Lepisosteus oculatus: one gene and its partner. Each later gene encodes a partner of the first gene's protein in a complex. Links are inferred from orthologs where the notes say so. Each region holds a gene or a part of one and is shown on either strand. Other genes may lie near its edges.

Region 1 (11,026 bases):
CGCCGTTTTTTTTTCCATTCGTCTGCCTGCGGAGTCTCTATCCCTGCCTTTCGGCGCACATCTGTAAGTCCATCACGTACCAGCGCCGATCTAAAAAATCTCCTCTCGCTACCGGACCTAGACCGCACTCCGCTTCCCCCTGCATCCCCGAGACTGGCCAGATCAGCGCTACCCAACACCCGCTCCATTAACTGCAAGGCTCTTCTTTTATGTGACATTATCAAAGAAAAACAACTGGACCTTCTGTGTTTAACCGAAACATGGCATAAACAAAACGATGGACTCCTGTTCAACCAACTAGTTCCTCCTGGATATGGTTTGTTTGACCTTCCGCGTCTTTCAGGCAGAGGCAGGGGCATCATTGTTATTTACAACCTTTTTTACAGTCTAAGTCCTATAACTATACCTCCTCCCTCTTCTTTTGAGTGTCTTGTTTTAAATGTTTCTATCCCCCAATCTACTATTATTGCCACAGTTTACAGACCACCCAAACCCAGTAGAGTCTTCTTAGGTGAGCTTGCTGATTTTTTGTCTCATTCTTATCCCTTAAGTTTAAAAGGATCCTTATTCTAGGGGACTTTAATATACACATTGATTCAACCTCTTCCAGTCTGGCTAAAGACTTCCTTTCTCTTTTGGTATGCTTTGACCTTACTCAGTTTGTTTGTACCCCTACACATAAAGGACACACCTTAGATCTTATTATTGCAAATGACTCCTTTGTCTCCCACTGCTCTCCCCTTGATCTAGGCCTCCTGGACCACTTAGCCATTCTCTTTAATCTGGAATTACCCGTTTCTAACACCTCCTCCCCACGCTCTGTAAATTTCTGCAACTGGCAACCAATTGATCACCCAAGGTTTGCAAATTATGTTCTGTCCTCCTTATCCTGTTTCTCTTCCTCTGACCCTCTAGAGGACAAAATACAGTTACTTGACAATGCTCTTTTATCTACCCTCGACACCTTTGCTCCTTTAAAAACTAGAACCATCTCCTTCTCTCGCCCTGCCCCCTGGTACAATGACCATCTGCGATTCATGAAGGCAGCCTCTCGCAAACTTGAGCGTAGGTGGTGTAGGTGGAGACTGCTCAAGCCAAACTGCCCTACCACATTACCTGCCTCATCACAACTTTGCAACACATTCTTAGATTTCTTTAGTTCTAAGACTGACAACATCCGGCATCACATTCTCTCCACTACGGATATCATTTCCATACCTCCTCATCCAACTTCTCTGGTTCCCGTCTCTCCAGCTTCTCTCTTCTTGACTCAGCATCCCTAAACAAACTAGTTACGGGCATGAAACCCACCACATCTATTTTAGATCCCATTCCCACCACTTTATTCCAGTCCTGTTTCTCTTCTCTCTGTCCCATTGTCCTCAATATTATACACGAATCCTTGAGCACTGGCATTGTACCAACGGTCCTCAAAACTACTGCCATTACCCCCATGCCAAAGAAGCCTAACATGGCTCTCGACAATTTTAACAACTTTCGCCCCATCTCCAGCTTACCCTTTCTCTCAAAAATTCTAGAACGTGCTGTCACACTTCAGTTACATAACCACCTCATGACAAACAACCTTTTCGAACCCCTCCAATCTGGCTTCCGTCAACTTCACAGCACAGAAACCGCCCTGGTCAAAGTCACCAACGATCTCCTAATAACTTCTGATTCTGGTTCTCTTTCCATACTCATCCTTCTCGATATCAGTGCTGCCTTTGACACCGTTGACCATAACATCTTACTTTCTCATCTTGAGACTGTGTTTGGAGTTTCTGACACTGCCCTAAAATGGTTTAAATCTTACCTCACTGATCGCTGTCACTTTGTCTCTCTCAATGGGTACAGGTCTGAAATTGGTCTTGTCAAGTCTGGTGTCCCCCAGGGCTCAATACTGGGCCCCTTGCTCTTCAGCATTTACATGTTCCCACTTGGTCGGCTTTTAAGATCACAAAGCCTCAGCTTTAATTTTTACGCTGACAATACTCAAATATACATCCATACCAAACCTGACACTGATGTGGCTGTCTCTATTCTATCTAATTGCATCTCTGACATAAAAATTTGGATGACTCAAAACTTCCTTCATCTTAACTGTGACAAGACTGATGTCATGCTTATTGGTACCCCCATCAACTTCGTAAAGCCAGTCCTTTAACCCATCTGTAGATGGCTCTGTACTTTAATCAAAATTGAAAAACCTTGGGGTTATGTTTGATTCTAGCTTAACATTCGACCCACATGTACAGCATACTGTCAAAACATCTTTTTTTCACCTTAGAAATATCGCAAGACTACGCCTTATGCTATCATTAACTGTGGCTGAAAAGCTGATCAACATATTTGTATTCTCTCAAATTGACTACTGCAATGCTCTACTCTCTGGGGTATCTAAATCTACTCTGAACAAACTGCAGTATGTCCACAATTCAGCAGCCAGAATCCTGACCAGGTCTAGTGCAAGTGTTCACATTACTCCTAACCTGGAGTCCTTGCACTGGCTTCCCGTCAAATTCCTCGTAGACGTTAAAATCCTCATGCTCACCTATAAGGCTCTACATGGCTTGGCACCTCAATACCTGTCTGAACTATTATTGCCCTACTCCCCACCTCGCAACCTCCGCTCTTCAAATTCTGCCCTCCTTACTGTCCCCCAAGCCCGTCTACATTGTATGGGTGACAGGGCCTTCTCCTGCTATGCCCCCAAGCTCTGGAACTCTTTGCCCAAGGATATCAGAGAGTCACATTCTCTAAACACCTTCAAATCCAGACTCAAAACCTTCTTCTTCAGAAAAGCCTTTATTTAACTGGTTCCATTCTTCACTCCTGTTCTTCTAAGTACCACCTTCCATGGTCTCCTCTATTGTTATTGTTGTAATTGTAATTGTATCTTATCTTGTGTATTCTTCTTATTTATTGTTGCAGTCTTCTTATTTATTGTTATTGTCATCCTTTAAAGCGCTTTGAGACGCTACCTTTAAAGGCGCTATATAAAATAAAGTTTATTATTATTATTATTAAATACTTATGAAATCATGATGTTTCCATTTTTCTTTCATATGAATTTTCAATTGACTCATTTTTGTTTCCTGCTTTGTGTGGAGAACTTTGTTGATATAGCAAAAATAAATGTTACACAAAGTGCAAGCTTTAAAACAACAAGGGTCTGAATACTTTTGTATGGCACTTTAGAGAAACACTTCAGAATCTAATAATACTCCTTAAACCTCCAATTGTCCTTTCTTAAATATGGTATTGCTGTAAAAACAGTTTTGGACTAGAGAATCTGTAAAGAAAATCTACTCTTTGAAATGGTATTTAATTAAAACAGAGTACCTACCTGAGAAGTGCTGTTCACCTTTAGGGTTTCACAGTGAGAAGCAGTAAAAGGATTCTGAAATCTGAAAAACCCGGTGACTCCCGTCAGTGTTTTTTTGACAATACTGACAGCTCCATCTAGGCAGAAAGGATTAAACATTACAAGACACCACATGTCAAAACTGGAGCATACTCACTTTTACTTGTGAGATTTGTTAGGCACAAAAAAAAGAGAACATTCTGTTTAGAATAAGTTGTTCAATATGCATTAACTGCTTAATAGAAAAGAGCAAACCTTTGCATCCATCCATTTTATTATTCAGGTTTAGGGAGTTTAATGATTTACATTCCAAATAGACAAGTTGATTTATTATAATCGTAACTGAACAAAACATGTTGCTGAAACGTTAATGCAAAGATACTTTTTTTATATAGGGTAGAAAATTGTTTCTGGGCACAAGTAAATAAATAGGGTGATCAGATTTAATTACAGGCGTTACTGGGCCCAACTAAATTCGTTTTTAGCATATGAATTAATTTCCCCAACAAGCAAAAAAAGAAAACAAATCTAGAGATCAGAGCTGCACTGACAATTTCACCAGGGAGAGACAAGCCTGAAAAATACCTCTTCTGGGTCTTTTGATCCCCGAACATTCAGTCTGGGTGTCTGATGTCTGGATGCTGGGAGGGGGAAAACACAGAGGCCATTTTAAAACCTGGAATAAAAGTTATTCCTCACTAAACTCGATGCTGTGGCAAACTAAGTAAGGTGCCATACCTGTACATTTCACCAGTACAAATACATGTCCTGCAACAGCAAGAACACTGTGCCAGACAGCCAGATGAAAACAGCTTTTATGGGAAAACCTTAAAAGGTTTTAGGTGGATACATTACGACCCTAAGAGAGGCAGGCTAAAATGTCAAGTTTATTTTTTCAAACGTTTATTCGTGATTCAGCTATTTGACAAACGGAATTAATACAATAGTTAAAAATTGTATTCTCTGCCAAACAAATTCTAGCACCGATAAAACTACGGGTAACGAGCTATCAATGCGTAAAGTTGCAATTTAACTTCACTAGCAAAGACAATTGGAAAGCAAAACGTCTTGAAGTAAACTCCACGACACTGTCTAAGTTACGGTTTTTAAAACGCCGAAACAAACTTGGCATGACTCGAACAAATACGTGTTCGACACACTATTTCATTTCATTAACCATTATTGTTTCTCGTTATTCTTATCAAACTGCCACTTGACTTCGAAACAAAACATGTCAATAAAGAAAAAGTTAACGAGGCACTGGTCTGCACACCCGTCCCCCGTCGCTCAAACCTGCAACACACCGACCTCTGGTAATTTCTCTTAGCGGGGCTGACGCGGCTCTGCAGCCGAGGAGCGGCGGCGGAACTCGGCGGGGTCTCGGTGCCGGGAGGACTCCGCGTCCTTTGCCGGGAACGTGGAACAAAGAACGACGTGATGCCGTTAACTATCCATTCATACATATCAGAAAACCGCGACAACAAGGCCGCCTGTCCGTCTGTCACTGTCAGGGCCAGGTCTGAAGGGTGCTGGGTTGACCAGCCTCCGAACAGGGACACCAATTCGCGTCACGACCGTCTCATAGTAATACGTCTGAAAAACTGAAATAAACTACCTGGTTGGTTAAACAAAACATTAAGATTTTACATCCTGGGGTTTCATTGGCTAACTGAACGACAACAATACGTCAAACACGCACTTCTCAATTTGCAGTACTAAACCCAGCCTTCTCAGTTCAGCACGGACCAAAACACAATAAGGCCGAACCTCGTTGATGCGCATGCGTACCAGCAAGCGAGTGACCGAGCATAGCAATGCAAGGGTGGACATCCGCACCGCGGGAAGTATCCAGTTTGTGAAAATGCACTGCAAGGGTACAGATGTGTTTTGACATTTAATTATATGTAGTTCTACAAACACTGTGAGTGATGTTTTATAGTGTTGCAGGTAAAACTCACAACGTGTGTTTTATTCAAGCTTTCAACGAGGCTGAAGCTAATTTGCATCGCACTGTGTGTTTTATTTACCCACCAATTATTCCGTTTCGGAGCTGTCAGAGAAATCTGTTTTTGCGAATATTATTTCCTGTTTAATAATATAAACTTTTAATCAAATAACAATTATATTTAACGTTTTAGCTTATTATATAAAACAATCGTACACACCAAGTTCATACAACTTCAGTCTAGTCCTACAATTACATTAATAATTACAATTACACCAATTATAAACTGAACTGTGTTTACAGTTAATACATTACACTTTATAATTAAGAAAGCAAAACAACAGCAGAAAGCAGAACCATGAAAAACAGACTTATCAGTCCTCTCCGCGTATACGTAGTGTATTTGTACATAAACGGTATATTACGTATTGGACAGTTACATGTCAGGCTGATATACCATTACATTATATGGGTAAAATCTCGGATTTTCTTCTGCGGTCAACTGTCAAAACGTAAACTTTTTAGATAACAGAGTCGATACAGTTGCGCGAATACAATGAAGTAGGTAGGTGTTTATTTTGAACACTCAATGAAGTAGGTTTATTTTGTGGTGTGTTTTTCACATAAACACTTCATTTTTATAAATAGCCCTGTATAATTTGTTAATTAATATTCGCAAATTAAATAATATTCGCAAATTGTCATGTCAAGTTTTTTTTTTACAATTTTCATTATCACACATGATTAGAACTTACAGCTATATACTTATACAGCTTGTTACAGTTTTCAAAACTGATCTGTTTTGATATTCTTCTCCAGGGAACTAAAAAGGAATGTATATACTTTTTAATTAATGAAGTTCACTAATGTTTATCAATCCTTTTTTTAAGTAATACCAAGAGACTTTTTATTTTCTGCCTCTCGACTTCTTCTCACCTCCTCATGCTGTATTTCTGTGATGAGAAGCTTTGGGGGGACAGAACAGGAAACCCTTTTTGCCACAAAGTCGAATTTGTTTAAAACAATTTAAAGTCAATTTAGTTTAAAGACCAGGCTTAAGGATTTGTTATATAGTTTTTCAGTCGTACCCTCATTAACAGCATATCACGCTCTTTTTGCGTCTGCATCAAGCTAGCCTTAACAGGTTCAATCACTCGTAATTGTGTTCTTCACACTAAAAACTAATTTGCGACGTATTACAGTACTATGCGATGCAAAACATTTATACAGTCATATACACTCCATTATTTTCTTTATTTCATGAACGTTGCTTATGTTTCTATTAAAACACTTAATGTAGCCCACACTACAATACATGAACAGAAAGGTAAAAATGTGGAAAATGTTAAGTTGAACAACTGCCAGTTAGCTATCTCTCAGGACAACACACTTCTCACAGATCATGCTAGTGCCTTTAGGTACACCTCATTATTTTGTTAACTAATTAATTCCTTAACCTTATACAGCACTTTTCTGGACACACTACTCAAAGCACTTTACAGGTAACGGGGACTCCCCTCAACCACCACCAATGTGCAGCCCCACCTGGATGATGCAACGTCAGCCATAGTACGCCAGAATGCTCACCACACACCAGCTATCAGCAGGGAGGAGAACAGAGTTCTGAAGCCAATTCATAAATGGGGATTATTAGGAGGCCATGATTGGTAAAGGCCAATGTGAACTTTGGCCAGGATGCCAGAGTAACACCCCTACTCTTTTCAAGAAACACACTGGGTTTTTTAATGACCACAGAGAGTTAGGACCTCGGTTTTAAGTCTCATCCGAAGGACGGTGCCCGTTTACAGTATAGTGTCTCCGTCACTATAATGGGGCATTAGAACCAAAACAGACTGCAAGACACCTCTTCCAGCAGCAACCTTAGTTTTTCCCAGGTGGTCTCTCATCCAGGTACTGACCAGGCTCACACCTACTTAGCTTCAGTGGGTTACCAGTTGTCAGTTGCAGGATTTTATTCTGTTCATCCGCTGGGTGAATAGCCCCTAAACAGATGGAAACCCCATTACAATGGGAAAAGGATAGCTAATGGGATAAATACATTTTCATCAACCACATATCCAGTCTCCTCTTTGCTTATGTCAGCCACCTTAGCAAAATGTCAATTTAGTACTAAGTAAAATAAGCTGTTACAAAGCCATATAGTGGCACTTATAAAGCAACATTGGCATACTCTAACAGCTATCATAAAACTTGAGCAAAAAATTGTATGCACAAGACATTGATACCCTAACATCAGTGGTGTCCAATCCAATACATTCCCATGGAAACTAGTCACTAGTTACTACTATACCTACCATCACTGTTAATTTAATTGTCCCATACAAACATGATACTCACAATGCCAGCTTTATCTGCATTGAATTTTACTGCCATACACAGCATAGTTTTCAGTGTTGGGCTAGCAGACCTTACAAGCATTCAACATTAAAAGCAGGAATGCATCAGCTGTGAAAAGGTAGGAGAAAGTGTAAAAAAACTGGTGTCGGGCCGGAGGTGTGAGGGCTATACTGACACGAAGTTTGCATAGAATGGCTAGTGTCTCTGTAAGGATGGTACATTCCGTGTCTTTCCTTGTTCTGGGGCTTCCCATAGATCAAAGGTCCTCCTTGTGCAGTTACCTGACAGTTCAAGGTGACGTGTGATTGTGAGACAGGTCTAACTGGACTTTAGACTGAGATAAATACGCACTGCAGCATTAATCGTGGTCATCTGCATGACTTGATCAATGATCCCCAAGCAGTTAGCTCTGCCCACTTCCAAGACATCAAAGGGAGACTTCCACTTGCCTGAGAATGTGACCTGGTAGGAGGAGCTTCAAACACCCCAGTCATTAGGACTCATGGGGCACACAGACAGAAGAAACTAAAGTAAAACCGTTCGTACCACAGCACACAGGTAAGGACTCAGACACTAAGGATTCTAGTAGAGAATTAGAGGAAGGCTCCAGCATCATCTTCCTCTCCCCTACCGAAGCTAGATTCAGAGCAAAACAGGGTGGGAAGGCACATAAGAGACCACATTGTCCAGTATGGCCAAGACTGAGGAGATATCAAAAACTACAAATAGTTTCTTCTGTCTGTGGTGGAAGAAAGCATGCCAGCTCACCAACTGGAGTTGGTTTTAGAGAGCAGAGATGTTGGACTGCTCCTCTGGGAAATTTGGGTTTTGGTAAGTGGGATGCATGGGGATCTTTTACTGTTCTGTGAGTATGTGCCTCTTTTGATTAAGTTGTGTTATGTATTCTGTGTATTGGGTAGGCAGTTATAGAATCTGTCGCATCGCAGGTCCTGTGTGATGAATAGATTGATAATAAAGTATTAAAAAGTGTAATTATGTATGACACCTGTTCTGTGCAGATCTTTGGGTGTACTGATGGTTCTGGTAGGATAGAGGAACCTGTTGTGGAGCAAAAACGGTCCTAGTACTCTTAATGTTGCTAGGTGGAGTAGCTAGCAACAAAAGCTAACATTATCCTGCATTTAGGGATCACGCTCTGTGACAAAAACTTTTTGCAAATATACTGTATGTGTTCCGGTAAAACACATTAAATATAAATTGATTATGTTTGCTATGAAGTATATATGGGTGGCTCTCCAGAACCAGGAATCTCTATGTCATTGTGATAGAGTCTGTCTAGTTCAAAATTTAATACAGGGCAGCTGGAAACCCAATTATTTACCAACAAAGAGCTTAATACAATAAACACTAAGTTGTTTCCTGGTTTAGAGAATACAAACAGAAAACAAAAGACTGTTTATAAAAGGCTTTTAAATTGGTAAAATAATCTACTTCATTTTCTTTTTATTCAGTCTTATAGTGATTTTGTTCCAAACATAAACAGTTACTGTTTCACAAAAAGAAACATATGTTGTTAGAATCGACATTTATTAAAATTTCAAGCACTTTGCAAAAAATCATAAATACAAAAATACATAGCTTACAAAGAAAAGAAAGAAATAGATATAGTTTGTGACAACAGTAGGTGAAACTATTGGAAAGGTCATTCCATATGGATAGATGCACTAAATTAAGGAGAAAACAGTCCTTTAAAATAACATGATATATTAAAGCTTTACTGAAAAGAAGCAAACGTTTCAGGCTAAATATAGCATTATTAAGATAACATATAATAATATGGCTTTTTCTTTCAATAACCCCTTTTAAGAGAAGATTTGTATTCAGAATCATGAAGAATATTTAACGTAAAATCTATTTCAACTTCTAACTACATATATTTTTATACATCTGCATCAACATTCCATGGTTTGCTCAAAGTGATATAATCAGCGACTGAGTTTAAAATGGACAGTCATTTGAATACTGAAACACTCCTTTGCAGCCTTGCACAGGAAAGAAGATGTAGCAACAATCTGCAAGGATCTCAAACAGTCTGGTCCCTTCCTTCTGTATGGATGTCAGCAATGTCCAACCTATACACTCCCAGTCAGATTGCTTAAGGTACTGCCTGAAGATGGATGCAACTTCTTTGTGAAGATAAAATGGATAGTCACCTAAATGCCTGTCAAAATAAGAAGGAAGTGCTATAAACGTAGATCAGAGATCCTAGATTGATCAGCCAAGTGAACTGCGATACATCCACTGCCACTCACAGTAAATATCTGTTTACAGACACTAAACTCAAGCACAACCTCTCCCATTATGGATCACATATACAGTATACTGTCATTAAAATAATTTCTTGCTACACACAGCTTTTTCTGGAAAGGAGAAAACCATCGAGACATGGAACCCCAGAGATTTATTTTTTTGTTTTTCTCTGATCCTTCCTCGATGGTTACACTGTTACTCTACAATACATTAAACTACTTTACATCCACTTACACTAATTTCCTTTTGACATATTTAACTGTATATCCCCATCTGTATAATTTGTGTTTAATGCAGTAAAAACACTATGTGACCAATTGATTTGAAGGGTGCAACACAAAGATAAAATTGAATTGAATCAGCAATTTGTAGACTTTCTTTCAAGAAAATGATCTGCACAAGAAACATGCTGTAACAAAAGGAGGAGAAATACCATCCGAAGTATTTCGGAGTGTAAGAGAAATACATTTCTCTTAAAATAATCACTTCACCGGACACTTCAATAGATAAAAGGCAACTTTTTGTCATTATGTGCAGAGATTTTTAGGAAGCATGCCCATATGGGTAACAAAGGAGAATAAATTGTGGTGAATTTTGGTTAAAAAGTTTCAGCCTTTTAAGAAAGGATTAGATACCCTTCAGCATTACTTTGACAGAAAACATAGGGCAGGTGGCTTTAATGTGTTTGTCTGACAAATGTTCATCAGATATGTTTTTTATTCAATTATTTGACCGATGTCTGAGACATGCAGCTCGCAAAACCATTATGTTACATTAAGAAAAATTCATACATTCACATTAAAATTTACACAGTGCAGAATATGTAATGAAGTGTAAGACAAATGAACTCTCAGACCGTAAAAAATAGTTGTTGGCCTAGGCTGCATTGAATACAAATATGGTTTAGCCAGCATAATGAGACATTTTAAAATAGTACCTATCTAGTTCTTAAGCTACTGTTTTTAAAAAGTAATTAAGTAGGTAAGCTCACCTCAAAGGCCCAGTGGGACTCTGTTGTGGAACCCATCCATTGTTACCCTTATAAAGACAACATTTTTTTATTTTCAATTTTCATGAAAGAAAACTTT
Region 2 (11,210 bases), about 400 kb from region 1:
AAACTTGTAATAGACAAGTATTCAAGTCAACAGGCGTTGGACCTCCATACTTATAAAAGAAGTGATACTTCTGATGCTTCAAACGTGCTGCAGGTTCTTGCTAAAATAGGTACAAATTACATTAAGCTATCAATAGTTCAGGTTTGCTACTGTGACAGGAAATGGAATAAGTATTGCCTGTATTTCTATAGTGCCTTCAGTCCCAAATCAATCACATGTATGAGGAGATCTATATTGTTTACTACAGAAGTGGGCACTCTCTTGGAAGGCCTGCAGCATCCATTGTGCTCCAGCAGCACAACAACAGAACACAGCAGGTAATGTCAAAAACATCTCATTTCATTTAAGAAGGCAAATTCAGGTGGAACGGACAGGGCGAGCCTAAAACTACAGTTGTGACAAACAGAAGCAGGCTTTAAGTGCCTCTCAATTGTTTTGAGTTTGTCCTTACCTGCGCAGGTGTGTCCGTTTCATTGATTGGCTGTCCATCAAACCTGAATCTAATTTGCCTAATTGACAGACCCTGGGAATCAAAAAATAGAAGAGTTAAACCCTCATGAATAACCGCATCTAAACATTGCACTTTGCAACATTACCAGTTACCACTCTAAATAGCTCAAATGGCAGTCAAAGCTAAAATACAATATGTTGTCATTAAAGGTGCAGGCAGACAGTGACTATTACATTTCCCATGCCTCCAAAGCAGCACACTGGTGAATGTGCTTGATAAGCACAGACTAAAGCTCTGTGGTCACCAGTTTGATGTTGGGTCACGTCACTAGCCAGCAATGACAGGCATTTCTCCAGTGAAAAGCATGCGACTGACTGAGCACTGCCGAGGTTAGGCTGCAGAGTTGACCAGGGCCCTCAGCGACACACTGAGCCCTGTGGTTTCCTGGGTGCCTGCACATATGATATGCTGTTCGGGGATGTGTCTTTCCTCCATTTAGCACTGAGCCTCCAGATGTAGTGCCTTTGACATGATGAGTCTCCCTTCACATCCTCATTTTCCTGCATGCAGTGACAGGGCTCATACTTGTGAGCATAGGTGAGCAACACACAGCTGGCTAGTCCTAATCAGCTGGGTCTAATTACAAGAACCATCAATATATATATATAATATATATATATATTACAGGAAATTGAAGAGGAAAACTGCTCCCTCATATTTCTAGCCTTCAAAAAATGGACAATTCAGAAAATCACAGAATACTTGTGGACTAATTATAGACAAATACGTTTATGATTAGGCTTAGCACTCCATTAGAAAGATGTTTCTCTGGACAATCCTCAAACCTTTAGAGACAGAAATGTTTTTTGAAAGAGTACTGCTATAATCACTGGTACACATCTTTAAAGCGGAGTAAGAGAGGTAAGCACTAACTGTAACATTCAGCACTTAAATGAAAAGAACACAAAAATGTGTCCTGTCCTTTATAAATAACTCTCTAACAGAACTATTTCCCTGATTACTGTTTTAAGTGTGAACCACAAAACCTACACTGAAGCCTGCCATAAATCCAATCCATCTGTTGACTAAACAGTAAATAAGCACATTGTCCATATAGTTCTATATTATCCTAAATAATGTGGGCATGCAATAAAATATAATCAGCATTATACTATTTAAACGTTGACAGTTTGTGCATTCCCAGACTGATCAGGGCATATGCAGGACAATTGTTAACATAACATTCGCCTACACAAAGACAATTAAGCACAGCATTACATAATTCTTTCTCTCTAAAACAGACTCACTGTGACGTGATTCCAAAGGAACAAGTTAAGATTAATTCCACACAGAAAACTAAAAAGAAAATACAGCTGCCGGCTCAACAGTCAATACATTGAATTTCTCCTTCTATGTTTCAGTGTGGAATTAACCATTCCTTGTAGCCTAAGAGGTGACGGTTTTTGAGAAAACAATGGTCAGGAATGCAGGTTTGTTTGCATGTTGATATAGTTAAAATATTGCTGTTTTTTATTTTGCATTTGAGCTTTAAAGCAAGCCACAACTGTCTTTTCTTCAAGTGCTGCTACAACTATTTTGCATATACTATGCCTTGCAGCATGGCGATATTTTAAAAACTAAGATTTTAGTGGGTATTTTTGGCTTGTTTTAATTTGTACTGTAATTGCCTGATCCATGTAGTAACTGTAAAACCCTTTGTCCCCAGTACTGTAGCCTGGCATACTTAAAAGGCACATCTGCACTGAATTCTTTTTTTTGTTTGTTCGATTTCTCTGGAACTTGGGTGCTCACCTTTTAAAGGCACGATTGTGCTCAGACCAGATTATTCCTCAAAATAAAAACATAAAGTCCTGCAAGTGTCCAAAGTTTGAGAAACCCCATGGCATAATTCTTGCACCCACATACACAATGTGCACTTAATAAGCCTGTGCAATGCTGAAGATTTTACAGGCTCCATCCAAGAAAAGATTAATCATTATGAAGGGAAAGTAGCTCTAGATTTATACTGTATGTGCACACAATTACAGATGTCCTGCATCCACACATGAATCAAACCTTATGAATTATTTTGCACCAATGCATACGGGAAAACACCACCGAAGGAAAGAGTGCACGTCCTAAAATGTTATGAAGATATGCAGTCTTTGACACTCAAGTATGGTTGCCTACATCCTTATAAAGGCACTTTAAGGAAGATCGCGGTAAAGAAAAATACTTCAAAGGAATGTTTACCTGTCTTTCGCAGTATGCCTTCATAAGTTTGCTGAGGGGGGTGTGTCTTTTAATTTTAAACTGGACAACAGAGCCATCCTGACCAGCCACCTTCAGGTTAATGTGGTCATTCTCGGTTTTCACTGCTTCCTGAAAGTGAATTAAAAACAAGACTATCAAACATGGATTAATCGCTCAAATAAATCTACAGAAGACCTGTAGGTCTTTTTTACATAGTAACAAAGTAGCTTGATGTAAACAAATCAAGTTACTTTAGAACCCTCATAACGTGTACTAAAGCATCGACCATTTTTTCTGCGCACTAACTGCTGAAAGCATCTCATACGTTGACTATTTTTTTACTTTTTGACAGCTACAGCGAAAATCTTTACAGTACGTAATGATTTACTTGAACCAATGTATTCCTACGGATCGTTGTGTTTAATACCTTGGCAGAGCATCACACATGGTGAACCCTCCAGCTCCAGCAAAATCGCCATGTTTTATCAGTTGTGCTGCATAAATTGGAAATGTTGTACTTTTTATCATTATTGCCAAATATAAAACGTACCTTACGTTACTATTACTAGCCTAATATTGTTATGGCATAGAATTGGCATGACAGGAGATGTTCATAATTTGTAATCGAAAAAAGATGTACACTTTATTCTCAACGAATGAACTGCCTTATTTCAGTACAGGGGAAGAAACGTTCTCATTAATTGATAGAGATTGGGATTTATTGTAGTTTCACGTTCTTTCTCAACTTTGTAATTTGTAACAAGGTACAAGGCCATATTCATTAACGTACCCCCTTCCCCAGTGAAATTACAAACTAAATGGGACGAAATCATAGTTAAAACAAATACCTATGTAAACAAACGAAAAGGTAATCACTCCCTCCACGGTCGTGTAAAGTGTGCTTTACCAAAAAGCACTGTTAAACTGCATAACGGTGATGCGCTCAGCTTTGTAAATGGAGGCTGCTTGCACTGTGCATCTTTCCGCTCAGCACCTCTCTCCTTTGCGGCATTTCTTACGCCGAAGGCGTAGCTCTGCTTTGCGACTCCATTACCCTTTCACAAAGAAAATCGCGCAAAGCACACACTGAATTCCAACCCGAGGAGATTGCGCGGCAGAGGGAAACAATGGCGCAATTTCAATGAAAAGCCCCATCCTAATGCACCTTAGTAAATTTTGCTGAAGAACCAACCTATGCTTCCAAATTCCAAATAGCAGATTTTATTTTTTTTATTGCATATATTTTGGTTCTCATTCTACTCACAAAAATGAGGAATCCCCTGCCCTAAACACAGCCTGATTGCCCATACCGCTAAATAATCACACAAAATATAAATCGTCTTTTTTTAAAGCATCAGAACCTTACCTTTGGCTTTTCTTCAGACATGATGCCTCTGATTTGTAAGTTTTCGGTGTGGATTTATTGAAGGACAGCTTTTCAATACACCTCTGCCAGTCGTCTCCACCACTGGAACGCGCCTTGTGCCTGAAGAGCCCAGTCACTGATAGGTAGAAAGCACGTCACGTGACGCTTTCTCGGGTACGCGCATGTCCTGCAAGCAGTTGGGTGTCGCGGAGATCGCCATAGTGAGGATTTTTGCTTTAACTTGCTCAAAACTAACTGTATGTATAATGCGCTGGAACAAACAAGTTTAGCTAATCTCTAATATCTGTATACACCAAAATAAATCAATTTTCTAATTAATTTATACAATGCCGTTTATTCTGATATGTGATATTTGATTATTTTATGACGACAGGGGGCGCTCGGTGTTCGGACGAGAAAATAAAGTACTCCTACAGTACTGTAAGTTATAGTGATATTTACAGTAAGTGATAAACGAATGCTTGACATTTACCTTAAATGACACATGTTACACATGTAGCGCATTTAACATGTTAAATGACAAATGTAGAAGCGTCTCGGACAGTGAACCATTATTGTCTTTTGCATTCAACTGATAAAAAGTAGATATGTGTGCAAAATTACTTTTTAAGTTATTTTGACTGATGATAATCGTATAAGAAGCAAAGGGACGAGGGAACTACCCGTAGTGGTTAAATAACATTAAATAAATCAAATAAATATTATTAATTTAATAATATCCTTAAGCACATTGAGAACGATTAATGTGCCTTCATATTCACTGGGAATTATTTTTTATATCAAATAGATCACATAAGAATACAAGGTTCAGCAATACCGTCTAATGCATATTAAACGATTCCCCGGACGAGCACTAATTCACAAATCTTACAAACACTGAAAACATTCTGTATTGAGTACTTAAATAACTCTCGATGAATTTAAACTGATAAAACTTACGCATTAACATTACCTTTGGTTAACATTAAGATAAATAGTTTTGCTACATTGAGGTGATTATATTGAAAAATGTCACTTTTTTAAAAAACGTGCACATGAAATATGCTCAGATGCAATACCTTGTGCAATGTTTGGTAATACTAATGTTTCTTTAAAAAAAACACGTTGAGAAAGTCTAGTTAGGACTTGCAAATAAGTGCATACAAATACATGTCGCTGGTAAAATAGATATCCCATGTGATTATATGCATACTTCATTCAAATATTTAAAGTCATGAAAGGGTTGATAAAATCAGCCTAATGGGATTGCTTCCGAAAAGTATTTGAGGGTGGATTATAGGAAACTACCTTATTCTAGTTCCCAAAATGTCTTTGTAACAAACTACCAGTTGTGTTATTAATTCTGATTCCCTGGGATCTGTAAAGAAACTGCTTGATGAAAACCTCAGATTCATATCCACATAACATCCCTTGTGTCAAAACTAAATTGACAGATAAAGTTGCGAATGTTTCCACACACAAGCTTTTGTCCTTCTCAGTTCAATTCCGTAATTAACATTTTACGAGAACAGAAGGTAAGTAAAACTACTCTGTTCTTTGTGCTGTTGTGCTGTTGGACATTTCTGTAGTTGCACGAACTACACGGAACACAGAGAAGATAATAAATATATTTGGAGTAATAATATTCAGTCACCACTTGTTGCTTATTTCCCCCGTCTTTTTAAAAAATAATTTCTAAATAGTGCGGATCAAGTTAAGCACAATAAACTGACTTGACTAATTTGGGCCCAATTCTCTATCACTCGTGTCCTTTTCAATCTTGTTATTGTCGTACTATACTTTGCCACTAGAGGTCGCACTATGAACAATTTTTTTTAGACCACGCAGATGAAGTAAAGGAGAGAGTTGCCTGAGACGTTACGTGGCTGCGCAAAAAAACCCCTGCTAAATTAATTGTACTTGGCTCCGATTTCTTGTTTTCATTTTTCAACCTTCACTCCCCCAAGCGAGGGCATATTTGTTCCCATTTATCTAATTAATGGAAGGTCACACACAAAAAACCTGCTTTTTGAGTTTTGGATATGATAGATTATGTACAGGTGGGCAGAGGTGGTATACATTACTTACTAAATTGACTCTAATGACTTCAGTTCCCACCAGAATTGAGAGCTTCCTGAACTGTAAAGCTTCCATATTCAGTCTTCAGTGTCAGATGTTTAAAAGTCAAAAGAGTTTTTCTGCAAGATGTGAAACAAAATTTAAAGTTTTGTGAAACTGCTCTCATGTGATGATTCTTTTTCAAGTTTCTTTTTTGCTATTTTTGGCTGTTGCCCACGTTTCATTCACTTTCTTGTCTCAAAAACAAGTTAGAAGCAACAGAAATTCATGACCTTTCCTGCTGAAACAGTTCAAGTACATTGCTATATAATCTAAGACAAACTACTCACTCCCTAACTGTATATACAGTATTAGGCCATGCTACTCCAAGAAGAAATTCCCTACACTGCAGATGTACAGTAGAAGTTGAGAATTCAGTGAGAATTGTTTTGTACTTCGAGCCTCCTTTTTTCTGATGAGGTGAATTGTGAAGAATTTTCAGGTGATGATCTGTCATTTTAGATGAAATAAGGGACTGTAGTATACGATACAATACTACACGATAAGTTTCTGCTACAGCTCACATGAGATATTTCTACTGAATAAGCTACTTGTGTGCATTTTAAACCTAGTCCTCATCACTAAGAGGACATGCAACGTAAGTCACTCTTCCACTAGCTCTTAAACAGGAGCTAGATGATAATAAACTTGGTCCATACCGAAAGGCACATTTACCAAGGCAACCCAAAGGCATAATTGCTGCATAGCAGAATGCAATGTCATAAAATTATGATCGATACCCAACCATGCTATCCAAGCAAATACTTTGGTATCTTCAAAGAAATGGATGGAAGAGATCCACACATTAGCTACTACCAACCTCATGAGCTACATAGGCCACGTGGCCTCGCATTGTAATATTTATTGTGCTCATATGATGCTACAAAGTTTAATCATTTTGTTTACTTACAGAAGCAGGAGAGACCCAATTATGTACGAACACAGCAAAGATTGTAACCATATTAACCTAACTAAATGGAAAGATTTCCCCAAATTACCCTTCGTTCAATCTCAAAGGAGCAAAGCATTTATGAAAGCAAACCAAAAATCTCCTTGTACATTCACCTATTGTATTGTCATCTTAATAAAATAAAATGACAAACAATAGGACATTTTGCATAAAATCTTCTTGTTTGTTTAAATAAAGGCACAGCAACAAGAGATGAATAGTTTTATTTCTTTTATTAAAACAGAAAAGCTCTTTTTAATGGTAAGCTAATAAATGAAACATTAAAACTACACAGAAATCACTATGTGATCGCACTACATTTGCAATTTATTAGGAAACACCAAAATTACCATTATACAAATTCAAAAAAGCGTGAAGTTTTAAGTACCACAGTAAATAACATCATATATATATATAATGTGCTGCTTTTAACAGATACAAAAATATACTTAAGATTAATATCCACAAGCAACCTCTACTCATTTTTGGTCAGTGAATTTGTCGGCAAAGCACTGTTGTAAGGCACAAGATGTAAGGCACAATGGTTTCCTTACTCATGGTTTGTCGTATGAAAAAGGCTTAACGGGCAAAAAGTATGAAGGTCCTATATTTCTATAAAAACTGGAGTGTAAAACAGTGCAGCACATTTTCAATCAAATGATACTCAGTACATAAAGCTGTACTTAAGTAAAGCTCTACATTCGGTGTGAGTAATGATCAAATACAAAGCTGAGATTTAAAGAGTACTGGGCTGAGATGATCTACTGAACTATCAAGGGAGCGCTTAACCCTTAAAAGCTAACTCTTCCTCTTATTCCTTTGGTATATATAATATAGGCAGCTGTGCTTCAAGTGTAAAATTTCCATAAGTGTTACAAACTTACTGCTCAGTGTCTGCCGCTGACATCTGCCTTCCAGAACAGTTACTAACAAAGTTTGCGTATACATTTAGCAATGTGTCAAAAACAGGCTTTCAATAAGTCGTGACCATATCTGAAAGTATTCACCATTGTGAAACTTCTCAAAGTGGCTATACCATTAGACCTATATCAAGCAATTCTCTTTGATCTGTCCCTATATGAAATGCCACAAGTGCCCGATTAGTTTGCTGTTTCAACCCATTAAAAATTGTTATTCTACATGCGAAAGCTTTGTTAAAAATACCCTCTTTATAATGGTTTGCAATGCAGATTGTTTTAGAATAACTATGATGTTAAAATGCTATCATGTCTGAGAACAATTTGTCGTCCAAACATCTAAATATTTTTTCAAAAAGATATTAAGTCTAGCAATTACAGGAACAAAGCCAACACTGCATTAGCATTTATAACAGGAAACATCATTCTTTTCTTTTATGTTTTGTCACTACCACTGAAGGAGCAAAAACTTGAGAAAAAAAGAGCTATTTCAATCTTTGAGTGAATTCCAAGCAGTTAGCTCTGTGTATAATTTCACAGAACTTTACACCAGTATTTTCTTCAAACTATCACTGTGGGAAAATAATTTTTGCAGACATTTCCAGATAAAAATAGCAACCACACATGACATTATCAGATTCTTCTCTTTTTAAACAGAATGCACTTATGAAATGAGTCAGTCTTATCAGGCTAGAGTCACAAACGTCTTAATTTAATAGTAACTAACTCCATGTCTTTATTCGTACAAAGTAAGAACAAAATTACATTCAAATTTTTAATAGCTACTTAAAATATAGTATTTTTAAGAAACCCAAAATGGTATCACCTGAGCTAGACTAAATGGTACTGAAAAATATCTTAATATTATAAATGACTTTGTTGTAACTCTAACCAATGCTGAAGCCTAGTTTAAATATCTTGTTTGCTGAGTCTACTGCTCTGGGAAATCAAACAAATTCAGAATCCTGACCTTTAACTAATGTATTCACATCACCTCTTGAACCTAAAACTCCTAAACCTAAAAGAGTTCTCTGACAATCTTAAATTTGCTAGATTAAATTTTAAAATAATAGATGTTATTAATTGTATTTAGGAACACTAAATTATTTTCAATTATTTTATGCATTGCATTTATTGCTTCTATCTACAAGTTTTAAACAACTCACTTCTTAGTGGAATTAAAGATAATTCAGCTTTTACAAAGGAAAATCTCTTAAACTGGTTGACTTCTACAATGAGATGTAAAGGTGTGTGTGTGCAAAGAGCAATATGGTTCACTCACCTTCACAAAACAATTTATATTTAATTGGCCTTATTGTTTAATGTTGGAATTTTCTGTTCAGTAAGAAAAAAATCTGCAATCAGTGGTCTAACAGGAATTTGTTCGTCCATCGAATAAAGATTTGGAAAGTTGAGGAGCCTCTGGTTCCACTGGAGTTAATTGTTTTCAAATTTAGAGTAAGGGTTGCTCTTCGTTAAACCTAAAAGAGAAAAATTAATTGAATGCATTTGCATACTTTCAAGCTGTACCACATAATAAAAGGAGTTTAAAAAAACGACATAAATGAAATAACATGTAAAGAAGCCAGAATATGACATCCAGATTCCATCGCTTACAAAGCTTACTCTTCCACCATAGCCAAAACAATATTTTATTAAAAGAACAAAAAGCTGCTCAAACTCCTCTTGCTTTAGGTACTGAAGTACTTAATTTGTAGAACATAAATAATATGACAAAAGCACCATAAAAAGTGCAAACTTGTCTCAGCACCACGTTTAAACAACACATTACCATCTAATTTACATCAAAGATCTCCGTATGATGATATCAAATGAATAAACTGAATCAGATACAAGGTGTACTTCCTTTTTCAATTACATGTTGTATTTGTTTTCACCAACAGAGGGTGTGTGCATCATATGTAATATTAAATTCCTTTCACAACAGGGGAGTTGTTGGTTATGCAGCAATTATTCATTTCTTTCTGAAAGATAACTGGCATGTTTGATTTCTTAGAGAAACTACACAGATTCATACTGCAAGCACTTCAGTTAGAAATTCTCGTGTGACTTTCTATAAATCACTTAATAAATTCCTTTGATGCTGTAAAAAAGGGATATGTTGTTTTGAGTTGCTTACCATATTTCCTTCTGATTTCATCGTGTCTCATTTTCATCTCGGCTTTCCTGCAAGGAGACAAGGAAATCTTTTTAAGCTGCAAAGAAACAGCTGACCATCTTATGTTTTATGGCTGGGATCACTAGGCTGTGTTCCCAAATACTAAACTGGTTAGGTCAGAACATAACTTCTGCTGAAGTTTACAGTAAGCACGTCATATGAAATGGTGCAGCTACGTACGAAACAACATTCCTCTTAATGACAATCTTTAAAAGTCATGCTGCATGGTCTAACCATCCCAAAAATCTACCAGGGGGCAGGTTCAATTAATACAGAGAGAATGGGTGCTTAAAAAGTAAACTAATCCTATTAAAGTAGAGACATCTTTTACACACTCCTTTCTGAAAGTTCCAACCTGAAGTTGAAGAGTAATTACAAGTCAAGGAAGTCAGAGAATAGTTTTTTTTCTCTTTTACTTCAATATCTACTGTCATTATACAAAAGCATTTAAAAAAGAATGCAATTAAATGTCTGAAGTAATGGTTCAGGACCTCATGACATTAGAATTGTACAGTACCATCACTAAGCAAGGTGAAGGCAAAACATTTTACGTTTCTTTTAGAACATTACATAAATTGTAAAACAATTCTCCCTTAACTGCATAACAAACCACAGCATATCTGAATTTCCTTTTTCAGAGTCCGGAAGACAAATCTGTAGTACTAGGAATGGTAAATTGTCACAATGTATCATTAAAATATAAAGGGCTTTCAAACCCAATTCCCAGAGGGCCTACAGCTTTTGGTTTTACCTAAAATAAATTGCATCATCTTTCCATGTGGAAGAAAGAGAACTTCCAAGACCATCAACATTACATTATATCTTCTTATTTCCCACTTAGTTTTGTAAATGATTATATCTCACTTAAGTAATCGCTTCTCTGAATATGCTATTCAGTGGTGCTGTCATTTGGTCTCAGTCTGCTGTAGGGGAATTATAAAAAAATGTTGCTCTACAAGCCTAAAACAAGATAAATG

What was found.
Region 2: the proteins of senp2 (region 1) and small ubiquitin-related modifier 3 are in contact, whole or in part, in a crystal structure (PDB 2IO1), measured with the Homo sapiens proteins. The link is inferred for Lepisosteus oculatus from reciprocal best matches to the Homo sapiens genes SENP2 and SUMO3. Residues at the interface, in NP_067640.2 of Homo sapiens: Gln385, Asp386, Phe393, Lys394, Leu395, Arg396, Trp410, Leu411, Asn412, Asp413, Glu414, Ser439, Thr440, Phe441, Pro444, Lys445, Arg456, Trp457, Lys459, His474, Lys476, Val477, His478, Trp479, Met497, Gln499, Gln542, Asn544, Gly545, Ser546; in NP_008867.2 of Homo sapiens: Arg55, Arg58, Arg60, Phe61, Asp62, Gly63, Pro65, Asn67, Asp70, Leu75, Asp81, Asp84, Phe86, Gln87, Gln88, Gln89, Thr90, Gly91, Gly92, Val93, Pro94, Glu95.

The regions. Positions count from the first base shown.
Region 1 is NC_090707.1:24,427,146-24,438,171, reverse strand, and holds the start of senp2 (sentrin-specific protease 2), read right to left. Parts: upstream 5,166-11,026; 5' UTR 4,828-5,165; coding exon 4,658-4,827; intron 4,006-4,657; coding exon 3,950-4,005; intron 3,463-3,949; coding exon 3,347-3,462; intron 1-3,346. Other genes in the region: c12h21orf58 (uncharacterized protein C21orf58 homolog), read right to left, coding at 10,931-10,976. UniProt on the Homo sapiens protein: Protease that catalyzes two essential functions in the SUMO pathway.
Region 2 is NC_090707.1:24,027,431-24,038,640, forward strand, and holds the start of small ubiquitin-related modifier 3, read right to left. Parts: upstream 4,213-11,210; 5' UTR 4,092-4,212; coding exon 4,071-4,091; intron 2,834-4,070; coding exon 2,705-2,833; intron 524-2,704; coding exon 452-523; intron 1-451. Other genes in the region: pttg1ipb (PTTG1 interacting protein b), read right to left, coding at 9,492-9,535, 10,195-10,241. UniProt on the Homo sapiens protein: Ubiquitin-like protein which can be covalently attached to target lysines either as a monomer or as a lysine-linked polymer. Does not seem to be involved in protein degradation and may function as an antagonist of ubiquitin in the degradation process.